2 linked regions of the Neodiprion lecontei genome follow. The protein of the gene in region 1 binds, or shares a complex with, the protein of each later gene. Links are inferred from orthologs where the notes say so. Each region holds a gene or a part of one and is shown on either strand. Other genes may lie near its edges. The genes, in order: probable medium-chain specific acyl-CoA dehydrogenase, mitochondrial; electron transfer flavoprotein subunit alpha, mitochondrial.

Region 1 (7,862 bases):
GAAACCGGAAGTCCTCCGACTACAGTTGGAGTTGTTGTTGCATTCGACCCATCTTGTAACTCTGTCCAACGCCCGTATAATGCTCGTGTTTTATTTAGAGCCTTGCACACCTCGCTAAACGACAACTTTTTGTTTTACATCCTTACAAAATTTAACTACATAAAAATTATTTAAATTGTTCAACCAGATCGTAGCCATGTAACTTTCTGATTCTTCCATAAATTTGCTTCATTTGAAATTATTTATTTACATCGGTTACAACCCGTGTATCTATTAAGGAAACCAATTAAAATATTTTACTGTGTTTCGGTTCGAATTCGAATACGAAACATTGTTGACATTTATTCAATATATTTACAAAATTTTTCACAGTTGATACTCTTGATCTATTTCTCGTTTCAAATATTGTGAACATATGAATTTTCGATTAATATGTTTAATAATTAAGTGCAGGGTATAAGTTGTGGGATTGTAAATGACGATAATAGTAAGAATAATACGAATCTAAATTGTTGCAAATCCACAGAGTATACACTATACGACCTTATTCAATATTAACGAAGACAATTGATAATGATTATTCGTTTTTTGTCAAGAAGCAGCGCAGCTATTTTTTAACAACATTAGCGAAATATAATGCTAAGATACATTTTGAACACGAAGAAACGACAAAAATAATTTTTGTAATTTTACATATCGGTTTACGAAAATTTAAAACGTGTGCTGCAATTTATTCCGAGATATTTAAATAGATTCTCACACATGAAACGCGTGTATTGACAAACATAGTAAATGATGAATGACAATTTTGCCTGTTGTTTAGAAAAAAGTAAACCAGGTGATTTGACAGTATATCAGATGCAACAGCGTATTTGAGCTGAAGTGTGAATAAAAGAAGTATAGAAAACAAAGAAAATATTGATAACGTCAGCCCCATTTTGTGAACTTACTCCTTGACGACAAAGAAGGGGTCTTCCAGCGTCATTCCTTCCCCGAAATTAAAAGGGTGGCCCTTCTCGCCTCCCCGTGGCACCCGCAAAAATTTTTAAGCGTAATTTCTCAATCATCGGTAGTAAATAACAGACTGTAATCCGCACTGTTATATCAAACCGACAACAATAATCAAATTGACACTTGCTCGCACCCCACTCTACTCATCTGTCGTGTATTATGACGTCTGCCACTGCAGACGACTATTTATTCGATTTTGACGTTTACCCCTTACAAAGATCTTCTAGATGGCAGTGTACGATCGATGCTCGACCCAGCTCAAGCCACAAGCCGCGAGTTTCGATTGGCCGAAACGCGAGTTCTCAAATATACCGCGTGTTTGTAAGCTCTACAAATCGACGTAGCTAAGGGTGCGTTCTGAAATCAGCTGCCAGCTCTAAAAACTCCCCGATGCGTTAAACGGACAATTGGATAGACAGCTTAGACTTTCATGCATCAGATATAAAAGTTATTTTGACATGTTTCCGTAGAAATTACTTCATTTTTACTTGTATTTCACTACATCTCATTCACTTATTCCAAGGCACTTATTGCTCCGCATTAAGTACAAGCATTCTACTTTTAAAAGGCGCGCTTTTCACCGCTTAGCGGTATATTGGATGCTCTTGCCAAATGTGATACTTGGTTATCAACTGCGTTGCCATCTAGTGCTAAATCCGGCCAAGTTCAAATGAATTAACCAATGACAGCCTTGATACAAGAGATTGCTCCAATCCAATTCTGGTTATACTGGGTTATACCAGTTTACATACGTATTTAGCTCCAGATGGAAAACTGGTCATTGTAGGCCATCACCGTTGTCCGCTGATTGTATTTATCTCTGGGTTAAAGTCCATTCGAGTTTCAAAACTTTTGAACTGTTGTAGCTGGACTCTCACCTCAATCGTTTCTCCAACGTCGATCGACTCGTTTATGTTCAGGATGTCTTTGAGCCAGGTATAATTTCCCCGTCGAACGTTGTGTGCTTTCACTAATATTCAAGACTGTACGCACGGTTTAAAATATTAGTAGGGATAATTGCATCGTCATCAGATATTCCAAACTATTTTCCTTCATTTGTTCGTCTAATTGCAGGTGATTAGTAGGTCAGTGAGACAAGCAGCAGTCAGGTCTTTTTCTTCTCAAGCTGCAGTACCAAATGGCTACAATTTCCGTTAGTATTAAATTTTGACATTAATTACATTATATTTTAACAGTTTAGTATCATGAGTAATCCAATGGGAAAAATGTCAAGCTGCATATGCTTTACTTTCTACGAAGAAAATAAAACTGTTCTGATTACTTAAACTCTGAGTACAGAATTAGTGCCGAAGCAATGTTGTTATATTTTTTGTTCAGAGCTTTCTGAGACGCAGCGAGAAATGCAGGAACTTGCCAGGAAGTTCACAAGAGAAGAAATAATTCCTGTAGCTGCGGAGCACGATAGAACTGGAAAATTCCCATGGGAAATTGTCAAGAAAGCCTGGGGTCTGGGACTCATGAACGGACACATTCCACAGCATTGCGGTATGTTCAAAATATCCTTGGCTAAGAATTTTCTTCCGATGATATGATATTTCGTGTATTTGAAGCTGGGGGCATCCAAATGAATGACAATTGAAGCAACATATACCACACAAGTTTTTTCAACCAATTTCTCTACAAATTTGATAACAAATCTATCGATTCGTATCGATTCTGACAAATACTGTTTGTACACAGTTCAAAGTTTTTCCAATATATCTGGCATAGTATAATCCCATTATTATTTCCATTCAGATAAACGTTCAGCGTTTCAACCATTTAATATATTGAATCTTGAACCTTTTGAACAACTGCTAATTCCAAATTGAAATAATTAGGATGGTAAGTTTGTTTTGAACTTTAACCCATAGTGATGTGCGATTATTTTATATCTCTGATAATCAAACGTGCCCCAATCTGTTTTGCAGTAATATTTATCTAATCAGAATAGTGGTACATGATCGCTCTGCAAGATATCTGTTAATCAATGATTTGTCATGCTAAAACAATAATATTTGAACAATAACAAGGTCAAGATATTTGAACCATATGTTTGATAATGTATCAGAAGATTAAGTATATTTTGATGTTGGTTTACCATGGATGGTTGAAAATTTTATTTTAAATGTGAGAATTCACACACTTGTTCAAGATCAGATACAAGTTTTTTTGTATGTGGTATAACGAAAGTTAAATTTCTTTTCGAATTCTAAAACTTGTGTTCGTTTAAATATCTGCATTCCTTTTTTTTTTTTTGCAAAATATTCATCCAGACTACAATTAAACGGCATTTCTCAACATCAATTCCTGTGCTGTATCCTAACATATGCCAAAATACCGCAATGAATCGTTTTTACAACTATACGAAATTGTCCATTATATAATAATAATTGCTGATAGTTTACCACAGTCAAATAAAACAGAAGATCAAAAGAAGTATCTACTTCATACTCAATTTTTAATTGGGAATGAGGAATCAACATGGAATCGTACAATTATACAACCAATTTGCTCTCTCTCAAAGCCAAATTAATACGGTCACTTTCAATTACAATTGAATCTTCAGGAGGAATGGGAATAGGTATTTTTGAGACGTGTCTGGTTGGTGAGGAATTCACATACGGATGTTCCGGTATAGCTGGTGGTCTTGGATCCACAGACTTAGGAGTAAGTTCCTGCCGGAGATGAAAAAGAATTCTTAAAAATTTGATCCAAGCTTATGGAGCAGTCAGCTCGTTTCATCCAGGCTCGTTAGTTCATCCTCTTTCAGCTTTTTGTGGATTTCCGATTGTTACCAAATTATATAAGTTGACATAGTTATTTTCTACAAAGTGTTAATTAATACTCACGACAGTTCTGCAGGCTTTCCGTGACGTTCAGTCCATCACATTATCATGGCGACTATACTTTTATGTCCTCAGTCATTTTATTATTACGCACTATTACTGAATGAATCTTATGTTTCAATGTTATGAATTCTTATGTTAACAAAACAAACAGAATACTATCGATAGGAAATTATGAGCATAGTACTTGTTGCTCATTGCATAGCAATAGATGGAACAATGTTGTAACATTGTATACAGTACTAATTTGACATTCAGGTGGTATTGGAATGAATACGTTTGATTCTTGTATGATTGGAGAGGAACTTGCATACGGATGCTCTGGTATTGCTAGTGGCATTGGATCCACAAAATTAGGAGTAAGTGGCATTTGTGAATGTAACATTCCATCGCAATTCATTGTTCTTGAGCTGATATATGGATTCATGCCGAAGGGAGTTGGACGTCATTCATCGTATCATTAATATCAGTGTTGATTTCTTGGTGGGTTATCTTACTTAGTAATTACGTATTGTTCTACTTTACATTTGGAGGCTTGTATGGGAGCATCGAAGCGATATCAAATATTTTATGAATTACTTATTGACATGTGGGTCCAATAGATATATTAGGGAAAAAACATTACCCAATAACGAGAAGTTTCGAGATTGAAACGAAAATCGTGCGATATGCCAAAATAGCCATGACATGTGATACATTAAATGGCTTTTGGTACATTCCAGGAGGATTAGAATGTGGTATTTTTGACGGTTGCATGGTGGCGGAAGAGCTTGCCTATGGCTGTACAGGGATAAAGACTGCAATGGAGGGATCAGGTCTCGGCGTAAGTTCATTCTGCTCGCGATCGAAAACTAATTTTTTTGTCTGTTGACTAACTTATGAATTAATTCTAAACATTAACATCCTTTCACCACGATCAACAATACTCTCATACTGGTTTCCACAGTAAATTACAGTGCAGTCTTGAATGAGCAAATTTATATTTTTTAAACTTTATTGCCAAAATTTCACTCTATAGTATTTTCATCTTCTAATTTTAATAGTTTTTGCATATGAGGATCCGAAGTAGGGAAAGAAAATAAATGCTCTCTGTCTCTTCTGTTTTGTGTAAGAAATTGCTGCAGCTTAATTGAGAATGTCTATGCACCATCTATTATGTCCTTAAATCTGGTAATGAGGTTCATCTGTATATCAGTTTACTGAAGCACAACCTTTGCTTAGTCACATTAAAATTATTGCGCTTGTTGTTGCTGTTTTAAAGTACATTCCGTATTTCCTAAATATGTGTTAAAATTGATTTCATAGCAAATGCCTGTGATTATTGCTGGAACTAAAGAACAACAAAAGAAATACTTGGGAAGACTCATTGACGAACCACTTCTAGCGGTAAGTTACCCTTCTATTCAAGAACCAGAGTGTGTCATTCTTCTATGCATAGTATATACTAATTTACTAGTGTTTTAATACTCAACATAAGAAACTCATTAATGAAAAATGTTTTCATCTCTTAATTCGGTTGTTTTTTCAATCACATCACAATTTGAATACCAAGGTTCGTGCTACACATTTCATACAGAGTGGATCAAAGGTACTGAGACTTGTGAATAACCTTTGAACGCGTGTAGATATCGCGAGAAATTTGCTGGAAATCTGTGTGATTGAAGAATTTACTTTTTGTAAGGGTCGGCAATTGCCATATTCCACGAGTTCCAAGATATAACTTGAACTCTTCAGGCTATGATAGTAAGTGAATAAATTGATAATGATTCGTTCATGGCAGGCCTACTGTGTAACCGAACCTGGGGCTGGATCTGACGTAAGCGCCATTAAAACTCGAGCAGAGAAAAAAGGAAATGAATGGGTTATCAATGGCACTAAAATGTGGATAACAAATGGCGGTGTTGCCAATTGGTAATATTGAGGGTAGAAATTTACTCCTTAAATTTAACTACGTGTATTTACAATCTAGCAAGTACAATTTTAAGCACTTTGAAATTCAGTTCAGCCTAAAATAATTGAATGAATAGATTAATAGAATGAATTGTGACAAAAGGAATGGTGGTAAGAGAGTTGATATTCCTGAAAATCCATGACTTTGTTTATAACGGCATTTTTGATTTAATGTGAAGTTTATTACTAATAATACAAAATTAAAAGAACTCTAATCCTATTCAATTTTTCCATTTTCATAGGTACTTTGTTCTGGCTCGCACTAATCCAGACCCTAAAGCACCGACTAGTAAGGCATTTACTGGTTTCATCGTCGAGCGGGATACACCGGGTCTAACTCCTGGACGTAAAGTAAGTTTAATGATCGGATGACTTACTTGTTACCCCACGGTTAGAAAAGTAACTTTCAGGGATAAAACTTTCAGGAAATGAATATGGGGCAAAGAGCATCTGATACCCGCATGATCACATTTGAAGATGTACGTGTCCCACAGGAGAATGTCTTGCTCGGTGAGGGTCAAGGTTTCAAGATTGCAATGGGAGCTTTTGACAAAACTCGTCCTCCGGTAACTGTTTATTTTTTTTCCTTCAATAGAATTCTGTCGTGGAATTTCATATTCTTTGAAAACTATTTCATCGTTGCAAGGTTGCGTCTGGTGCAGTTGGACTGGCGCAAAGAGCACTGGACGAAGCTACCAAGTATGCTCTGGAACGAAAAACTTTCGGCAAACCCATTGCCGAACATCAGGCAGTAGCTTTCCTGTTGGCTGATATGGCGATTGGAATCGAAACAGCTCGGCTAGCTTGGATGAAAGCTGCTTGGGCTGTCGATAACGGCCAAAGGAACACCTTTCTAGCCAGTATTGCTAAATGTTATGCCGCAGACGTGGCTAATAAGTGCGCCACAGATGCAGTACAGGTTTGTCACAAGTCCAGAATTGCAATTGTATATTCGATAAGCATTGCGTAAAAAGTTTTTATTCATATCCATAAGTACAAAATGGCAAGTTGAACGTAGAATTCAGTTTTTTACGTTTGATTTGAAACTACTTAGTGTTTAATCACCAATAGGTATAATCACCAAGTATCAACGTGTGATTCTTTACAGATATTTGGCGGCTGTGGTTTCAACACTGAATACCCTGTAGAGAAACTAATGAGAGACGCTAAGATTTATCAAATATACGAAGGTACAGCTCAAATTCAAAGAATGATTATATCACGTGCTTTATTGTCAGAGGCTCAACAAGGTGGTAAATGATCAAATCATATCAATCACATGTACAAATCATAATAATATCTCATTGCACCAAGAATGCTGAGATAATTCTCAATGCATCATTGTTTCCACCAATACAATTGTACATACAAAATTTCTTACAGAATTCATAATGCTAATGAAATAGCGTGTGTCTTAAATATGGGCGTTTAGTGAAATAAGGCTCACAAAAAATATATATTTTTTATTCTCTTTACTTGACTGAAGTTTACTTCTGAAGCGTAAATTATTCTCTACCTGTTTCCTAATCCATTTCAAATTGTAAATATATTCTCTCCTTATCTTTATCACTTTTCATTCATCCGTGTCGTAGACTGTATAATATACAATATTTAGGAGACATTAGATTTGACAACTTTAGCATCATCTATACGTATTTGTAAAATAATTTGCTTATTCCCGTAAAATTCTTCGTGATCCTGGAATTTGCATTTTGTATTTTATAGTCCATTTCTCCAAGGTTTCGCGGGGTGAATGATGAGTCATATCTCTAATGTTCATATGGGATTACAGTGGAGAGTTGTTTTCGAAAAATACCTCGAAATTTATTCCGGACATTTTATTTTTTGCTTCATATGAAATTATTAATGTGAACGCAGTTGAAAATGTTCATAGAATTCATTGAATACCCTGGAACGCCAGCAACGGTTACGTTTTAAACATATACGCGACAAGACGAGAAAGAAACAGAGCAAAACAAGGTGAAAAACGAAATCATTCGAACGACGCGCGTATGTTTGTAATGTACGTGTGCGAATGTGTATTCAGCCCGG
Region 2 (7,928 bases), on another chromosome or scaffold:
AATAGATGTAATGCTAAATTCGGAATGTAATAGTACGTATACTATTTTTCCTATTAAGTTGCGCAAAGTCCGACCACTACAATTATTTTGAATAATTGAAACTTATTTTTGGGCGAAGCCCCCCGCCCAAAACAAAAAAACAAATTATAGAACTATTATAAATTTATTAAATTAAGAAAAATCTGATTTATTTATTATTTTCAATTATTATTAATATTTATCGTAACGTGACAATTTACAAAACGAAACGGTATATTTTAACGAACGTCAAAGTATCGCTCGCACGTGTCAATGCTAAGAGAGTGCCGCAGAGATGGCGCGCGCGTATATACCTTGGAATCGCTCGTATACTCTTATACATTCCCGCACGCTCAGCTACATCCCCGTTCGCTCAGTTGCATTCCCGCACGCTCTTGTCAACGTGTGGGAAAGCGGTACTTTGCGAACGCAAATGCATGCGCAAAATCGAACTTTGCGCAAGATAATAGGAAAAATTTCTTAATATCATTGATTAAGTAATAACGTACTTAAATTGTTGATCTGTGATTACTGTCATGTTCTCGAAAATATATTATTTCATATGCACATAGGCATATGCGCCCCTTTATAAAACGAACTCTTATCGATTGGCTCCAATAATTATTCGCCTCTATAAATTACAATATTTTTATCAGTTTCATATATTTTTACCTCGTACAATAAATCAGGTTTGGGCATTTCTTTCTTCAATTCATCGAAGACAAAAATAGCTACATTCTCTGTTGTCGAAACAACGTGCTTGAAATATGGCACATCTTTATCCAAATTTTTATGATCTAATTTATCCATCAACACATTTTTCATGTAAATTTTCAAATCGGAAATATTCATTACCATTCCAGTTTTTTCATCCACAGGACCTCGCACTGTGACCTCCACTGAAAAAAGAAAAAAAACATGAGTTGTGTATCGAAATTTTTTAATTACGCATTGAACAACTATAGTAATAATTATAGTACTTCAAGTAGATGCGTATGTTTTTTACCGGTGTAATTGTGTCCGTGCCCCCAAAAATTGTTACACTTTCCGTAAACTGCTGCATTCTGCTCGTCGGTCAAGTGTGGGCTTAAAAAATTTCCACGTTATTAATTAGTGGCATGCGTGCTTAATTATTGCGTCATCATTCATTTTTATATTATCGAATACCTATGAAGGCGATGGCAAGCAGATATTGTTTCTTTCCTGGTCAAATACACAACCGGCACTTGCGTCATGTCCTATTTATTTTAGATCGATATTATTACTTATTGTCGCACGTGACAACACGTTAAAGATGCTGAAGATTTGTAAGGAAAGTTCAAGGTGGCCTATGGCTGATTGAAAAAATGATCTGCGTATGTACAGTAGGTACATATGCTTATACACGTACGTGATTTACTTTTTATTATTTCGCTGGCATTCCCGACGTCGCAATATCCTGCAGTTGATTGATCTTGCTAAATCTGATTTCACAGTAATTACAACAGCGTTCGAATATTACATTAATATATGCTAGAATTGGGTAACTAAGTAGATACAGCTGGCGATTCACAGCTAGTTTTATTCACCGACTCTTTGCCGCCATGATGGAAAAAGTAGAGCTAGAGACCTCTGGCCGAAGCCCGTCGGTAAGCCGTAAGAATATCGTCATCACGTACGTATGTACCATATATCGGTCTATGTACATACATAAAACAAACTTTGGACTTGCCTATCAACTTTGCCACCGTGCTCCACTTCTTGCAACGCACAACAGTCGAGTGAGAAGTATTGCAAACTGAGACATATTTGGCAAACCTTATTTTCGTCAACCGTTGGAATAATTTCAAAATGTTTGTCAACTGTTCCCGTACGATCAGACACAAAACTCAGGTGAGCCAAACTTCAATGAAAATTGATAATTGATCAGTGCACAATTTCAAGTAGGTTGTATTAAATTTTTAGCTTCCTCTATCTTTACTACAATACTTATATAACAATTTTCTATTATGTTAATTTGATTGCCTCATCACGAGATTGATGTAATAAGCGAACCGTATCTCTTTACTCAATTACCTGATATGTTAAAATAATGTTTGGTTGTTTGAGCATCTAGGAGTTGGCCAAGTTTTATGTGAATTATCATCTTCCAGCTGAACAGTTTTTTGCAAAGATATCAATCGACTTTGGTAATTGCTGAGCATAATAACGAGGCTCTGTCGACGATAACCCAAAATGCATTAACCGCAGCCAGGCAAATCGGTGGGGATATCACTGTCTTGGTTGCTGGCACAAAGTGCGGGCCAGTAGCGGAGGCTGTATCCAAAGCTAACGGCGTAGCTAAGGTTTTGGTTGCCGAGAACGACGCCTTCAAGGGATTCGTCCCTGAAGCCATAACACCGCTGATATTAGCTACCCAAAAACAGTTCAACTTCAGCCACATTCTCGCAGGTGCCACAGCATTTGGAAAGGCTTTGCTGCCAAGAGTGGGTAGACAAATAATGAATAATTGCAGATACGAACAATATCCAGTCAGGGTGTTCGATAACTGAAGTTTAATATAAATAAAGATAATATAAATTTTAGGTAGCCGCCAAACTAGATGTTTCCCCGGTGAGTGATATAATCGGTGTTAAATCACCAGACACGTTTGTGAGAACAATATATGCGGGCAATGCTATACAAACTGTGAAAGCTAAGGACAGCGTAAAAGTTGTTTCTATTCGAGGGACTTCTTTCGAGGCAGCGCCTCTAGAAGGAGGGAGCGCCAAGCTAGAGCCAGCACCAGCGGGTGATTATAAGTCTAATTCGGTCGAGTTTGTAAAGCAAGAACTGACAAAGTCCGACAGACCAGCGCTCGCTTCTGCCAAAATTGTCATCTCTGGTGGGCGTGGGTTAAAATCCGGGGAAAACTTCCAGCTTCTGTACACGCTTGCCGATAAAATGAACGCAGCCGTTGGTGCTTCTCGTGCCGCAGTTGATGCTGGATTTGTACCGAATGACTTGCAAGTTGGACAGACTGGGAAAATTGTAGCGCCGGTGAGCTTACACAGATGTTCTGTTGAGATAATATTCCAATTTGAAAAAATTATACTCCATCCCAGATTGCTGAGCGATAGATAATTTTTGATTTAGTATGAAATCGATAAGACTTGGGAGGCGTCAAATCTATGAAAACGGTTTTACTTGCAGGACCTCTATGTCGCCGTGGGTATCTCCGGAGCGATTCAGCATCTTGCTGGAATGAAAGATTCAAAAACAATCGTAGCGATAAATAAAGATCCGGAAGCTCCTATTTTCCAAGTCGCTGATTACGGCTTGGTAGCAGATTTGTTCAAAGTGGTACCAGAGCTTACCGAGAAGGTGTAAATTACGCAGATACTAACGGCGTTGTTTCAAAAAAGGAAATCAAAATATCTTCCATAGGATTCGGTCATTAAACAAAGTTATCTAAGTCTTGTATATTTCAAAAAGCTACCAAGTTTCCGTGTGAGTACTATTTTGACAAGCGCTGTCTCTTATAGTAATTCCTATAATATTATTACATATCGTATCAAATAATATTTACACATTGATATGATTATCGCATGTTTTCTCGTGAGAAACGATGACTGGTAATTCGAGAAATAGTTGTGAGAACTCGAGCTCCTTTTGCAAATGCGTATCTTAACAAAATGGAAGATTACTTTATCATATAATAATGTAAATCATTCTTATACATACTTTTCGCTACAAAGTTGTGATTGAATGCGTTTATATAGTATGTCCAAATGTACAAAGATTATTCTCAACTTTTATACTTGAAGCTAAGAATTTGTTAAATGCTATAAAATAACTGACGAAAAAAATCTAGGTATATTATTTCAATAAATCTTTATCCGTCATGCAATTTCTATGGCATTGTTAGAAACTACGTAGAACTTTTACGAACGTAGAATTTCATCAGTGACAGGCAATGACCGGTTTGATATTTATTTCCATAAGCTTGGACACTTAGAACCACACGGTATATGCAAGCACAACGAATAGAATAGACGTCGAGGAGATTGTAGGTAGGAGGTAGAAGTCGGTAGGCAGAGGAAAGCAAAACAACGCGGGAGAAAAATTCTGCATGCGGATTGCGAAGGTCGTCTTTGTTAAAGTACGTTGCACTTATGCCGCATCATTGTCGTAGTTCCCCGTATATCGTATATGCACAGGCATACGTGTATTCCGCTCAAGCGCGTGCGCAAGGGGAGGAAGAATAAAATGTAAAACGAAATTGCGAAAAGAGCTTGCAATATGTTCGTAAGTTATCATTTTCTACCCAGTAGTCGAATCAAATGAAACTTGATCAACAAACGCGATCGGAACAATGTGCGTATTTACAAATTGGCAAGTCAAACCTCTAAAGTTCTCAGTTTGCAATACTACAAATTTTTCAACCTCTGTTACTACTCTTTAAAACTCTGTAGTAATAAATAAATGAACAAGCAAACCGTCCGGAGAGAAGTTGGAGAAGGTTAAACACGAGGCAGAAATCTCTTGTCAATGCCGTCCAGTTTGCAGATTTGCCAATGCTCTCACGCATTTCAATGCACATATATGTACCACACGCGCACAGTCTTGCGCTTTGTACGTGTTGCGCACAATGACGAACAAATTTAAGGTGGTGACTCGTGGATAACGTTAGGTAGTCGTGTTTAAATGAAAGGGAAAGCGCAGTTTGTGAATCGAGTCTCAGAACGAAGTTGAAGCCCGGTGCTCCTGCAACTGGCACCTGCGCAGTTCTACGACGCAGGTCGCAGTTCTAGTCCCGGGTGATTGAAAGTCGGCTGACTTATTCGATTTATGGTAGGTACACGTGGTTTATCCGTTTCTTCTATTTCTATTTCTATTCTTCCTCTCAGTCTTCACTCATCTCCACCTTCGACCTAACGTCTTCACCCCATTGTCAAATGTCATATCCACATGCGTGGTTGAAAATATTGCGATTAATTATAAAAAAAAAACATTTTAGTGTGAACTATGATTCTACGTGTAGGTAGACGAAAATTTTCGATCAAGTCATAGAAACAGATTTGCTTCTTGGGGTTAGGTGCGTGCTTTGACCCGCTCTCGAGTGTCGAAGTTTTGAATAATCGCAGCTTTTCTTCAGTCATCCTTGAATGCAACTAATGTTTGTTTTAGAACGCTTTACTGCAATCTGGGTAATTCAGCCGGGGAAATTTTCTAAATCTTCGCTTTTGTTTCACTCACCGCTGCGTAGATCGCTTGTGCCAAACAGGTTTTTATTCCCCAAGGTCGTGCGGCTTCCTATCTTCCTCGCGTGTTTTTCACTGTATTGTTATTTTTGCCGAGTTGATGGCGCGGATGTATCTCGGGCCGATTACATCAGTTTAAATGTTGACGAAACGCCGGACCTAATACTGATTCAGGTTTGGAGGTCATCCGTAATCATTTTTTAAACACAAAAGTCTCTCGCAACTTTGTGCTCATCTCACAAATTCATACCACAGCCGTCACTTCAGTCGTGAAAAAGTTTAGCAGTTTCGGATAACCTGCACGATTGTAATTCATCGCTATTGAAAGTAAGTCAGTGAAGTTGGTGGCCTTGTACTCTCAACGTGATGTAATTTCAAAGTGTGTCAGTTTGACTCGGCGTTGATGCTGCAGTTTGAAATTGAGTTTGAAATCGTCCCTCGCCTCGTGTCATTATTCGATAACCGTAAATTCCGATTCGCTTTGTTCGTATATACGTACATAACTCTCTTGACTGTCTCTCGACAATGCATGCGGCCAAGTTAACGAGATTGCGGCAAAGAAAGTGAAATTTTTCCAACGTTTGCGCAATCGACCCGTAATAGGTCTATTATTTAACTTGGGATTGTTGTAAAGTTGATCAAATACAGTGCTCTACCTGATTGTCAGCTTACTCATCTCTCCGTCGTACAGGTATCCCGTCGAAAATAACAGCATTACTCTATACTTGCGAGAGGCCCAAACAATTCGAGCCAGTTCATGTCAAGCGTAACAGGTGCAATAACATCTACTTTGCATTGTCGAGTGTGTGTCTTACCCCGGTAAAATTGACGTCACGTTATTAATTGCAACACAAGTTGTGAAATTTGCATAACGCGGAAGCTGGAATATCTTTCATTTAGCTTGTGATTCTTGCCAGAAATTATTTGAAACACCGAAGCGACTTCCATTGCGTCTTTTATACTCTTCTATTCGTTCTCGTACATTGCATATGCCGTAAAAAAGTGAAAACAACTCCGAATATTGTAGGTGCCTGTGTGTGTCTGTGGTATTTCAAGTGAGTTGTTCTTCCGATGCTTCATAATTTTAGGAAATTTGTAAGGTATGACGAACCAGCTGCACCTCCCATTATTTCCACTCACATTTTAGTCAAGTTTCATATTCTCGTGTAGGTAGACGAGAAAAATGCGATAGCTCACTTGAAAATTACGACAACAATTTAAAGTAATTATTATGTTGTTACTGCAGATTCAAAATGATTAAAATTTGTTGTAAATTGTTTCAGAATTGATTAAAATTGGATAGGAGAATATTTCAGTGGACAATGAACCGGAGGAACTTGTATAAACAGTAAAATACATAGAAATGGCTGTGAAAATTTAGACGTCGTCGCCCAGTTGAACGGAGACGTCAGAGCATCATATCGCATTTAATGACACCGAGCAACAGGGGCGGGGGGAGGGGAGGGAGTCCTTTAAACGTCAACGGCGAAGATTAGTGGTAGGAATTAAGAGTGGTAGGATAAATAAGGATCAAAATAAGCAGCGAAACAGTACATATCTACGACAATCAAAATGCTCGAGCCAGTGATAGGAATATCTCCAATTTGGTGGCTACTAGCTTACGCTAGCGTCTTGTTATTACTATCACCTTTGGTTTTACTTGTAGTATTGTTTTTGCCAAATTTACCGATTCTTGTGCTGAGAAGAATGTGTTACATACCAGTGGAGCCGATATAACCATTTCACTGAAGCTATAAGCGATCCCGAATGGAAACAAGCCTTCAGTGTAGGTATCTACCGGATTCCTAGATACACATACTGAGTTTTTCAATAGATTGACGAAATCTGCAGTAAACTCTGCTCTCTGCAGTCCCTGGACATTGAAGAAAGTGGTGTTAACTCGATCTGCATTCAAGATAGAATCGTACGCGATAATCCATGTAATACAAGATAGGTTTGATATTACTGCACTTAATATTAAACGTTTGTACACAGATTATGTAAATATTCGTGTAAGATATTGCTAACTCCAGTTAAAGAAAAAAAAACGAAGAAAATATATTTGTGTAAAATAAATCATTTATTGAAGATCAAACGAGCAACAATACTACCTGTTTCATCTTTGGAAGGGGTCGATCTTTTTTTGAGTATATCTCAGGAAACGATTACGATTGATTCACGACGACCTCGGAAGTGATTTAAAACGGGTTTGTAAATGCATTTTTTTCGGATCTTTCGAGTATGCGTCATATCCTGGTATGCACGATGCGTGACATACATCAATATATCTATACCCATAAATTGTATACTTCTGTATGCGGATTTTCAATATCTATTCTCGCTTTGTCACTTCGCATTTACGGTCAATTCTTTCAATGCGTTATAACCGGCCGAACCGGATCGCCAAGAGTCGTAAAATTATTTTTCACGTATCATCGCGTGGCCGTAACTCGGAGACAGTGAACCACGCTCGCATACACCACAGGCCGTGATGGCCAAGCTAACCTCATCGTCCGCTACCAAATGGAATATCAACTAGCCTGATATTATTAGAGCAGAATTTTAAGAGCCATTTAGAGATTCAGAATCTCCGAATCGGTATTTGTGAAATTTTTCGAATGTCTCGATTTCTTATGCACGAAACAAGCCGTCGGAAATATATTAATAATATGATGATTGATAACAGGT

Evidence for each region.
Region 2: the proteins of probable medium-chain specific acyl-CoA dehydrogenase, mitochondrial (region 1) and electron transfer flavoprotein subunit alpha, mitochondrial are in contact, whole or in part, in a crystal structure (PDB 2A1T), measured with the Homo sapiens proteins. The link is inferred for Neodiprion lecontei from reciprocal best matches to the Homo sapiens genes ACADM and ETFA. Residues at the interface, in NP_000007.1 of Homo sapiens: Pro163, Lys173, Pro211, Gln232, Arg235, Glu237, Val251, Glu253; in NP_000117.1 of Homo sapiens: Arg223, Lys226, Arg249, Asp253, Ala283, Ile284, Gln285, Glu304.

The regions. Positions count from the first base shown.
Region 1 is NC_060261.1:7,228,777-7,236,638, reverse strand, and holds probable medium-chain specific acyl-CoA dehydrogenase, mitochondrial, read left to right. Parts: upstream 1-1,779; 5' UTR 1,780-1,923; coding exon 1,924-1,947; intron 1,948-1,977; exon of another isoform or gene 1,978-1,996; intron 1,997-2,085; coding exon 2,086-2,164; intron 2,165-2,349; coding exon 2,350-2,517; intron 2,518-3,580; coding exon of another isoform or gene 3,581-3,681; intron 3,682-4,118; coding exon 4,119-4,219; intron 4,220-4,582; coding exon of another isoform or gene 4,583-4,683; intron 4,684-5,165; coding exon 5,166-5,246; intron 5,247-5,640; coding exon 5,641-5,771; intron 5,772-6,052; coding exon 6,053-6,161; intron 6,162-6,235; coding exon 6,236-6,376; intron 6,377-6,456; coding exon 6,457-6,729; intron 6,730-6,918; coding exon 6,919-7,071; 3' UTR 7,072-7,285; downstream 7,286-7,862. Other genes in the region: syntaxin-6, read right to left, coding at 1-114, 951-985. UniProt on the Homo sapiens protein: Medium-chain specific acyl-CoA dehydrogenase is one of the acyl-CoA dehydrogenases that catalyze the first step of mitochondrial fatty acid beta-oxidation, an aerobic process breaking down fatty acids into acetyl-CoA and allowing the production of energy from fats.
Region 2 is NC_060266.1:26,572,958-26,580,885, forward strand, and holds electron transfer flavoprotein subunit alpha, mitochondrial, read left to right. Parts: upstream 1-1,750; 5' UTR 1,751-1,848; coding exon 1,849-1,890; intron 1,891-2,150; coding exon 2,151-2,483; intron 2,484-2,583; coding exon 2,584-3,036; intron 3,037-3,189; coding exon 3,190-3,366; 3' UTR 3,367-4,830; intron 4,831-6,523; coding exon of another isoform or gene 6,524-6,529; 3' UTR 6,530-7,335; downstream 7,336-7,928. Other genes in the region: 6-pyruvoyl tetrahydrobiopterin synthase, read right to left, coding at 640-917, 1,025-1,104, 1,186-1,253. UniProt on the Homo sapiens protein: Heterodimeric electron transfer flavoprotein that accepts electrons from several mitochondrial dehydrogenases, including acyl-CoA dehydrogenases, glutaryl-CoA and sarcosine dehydrogenase.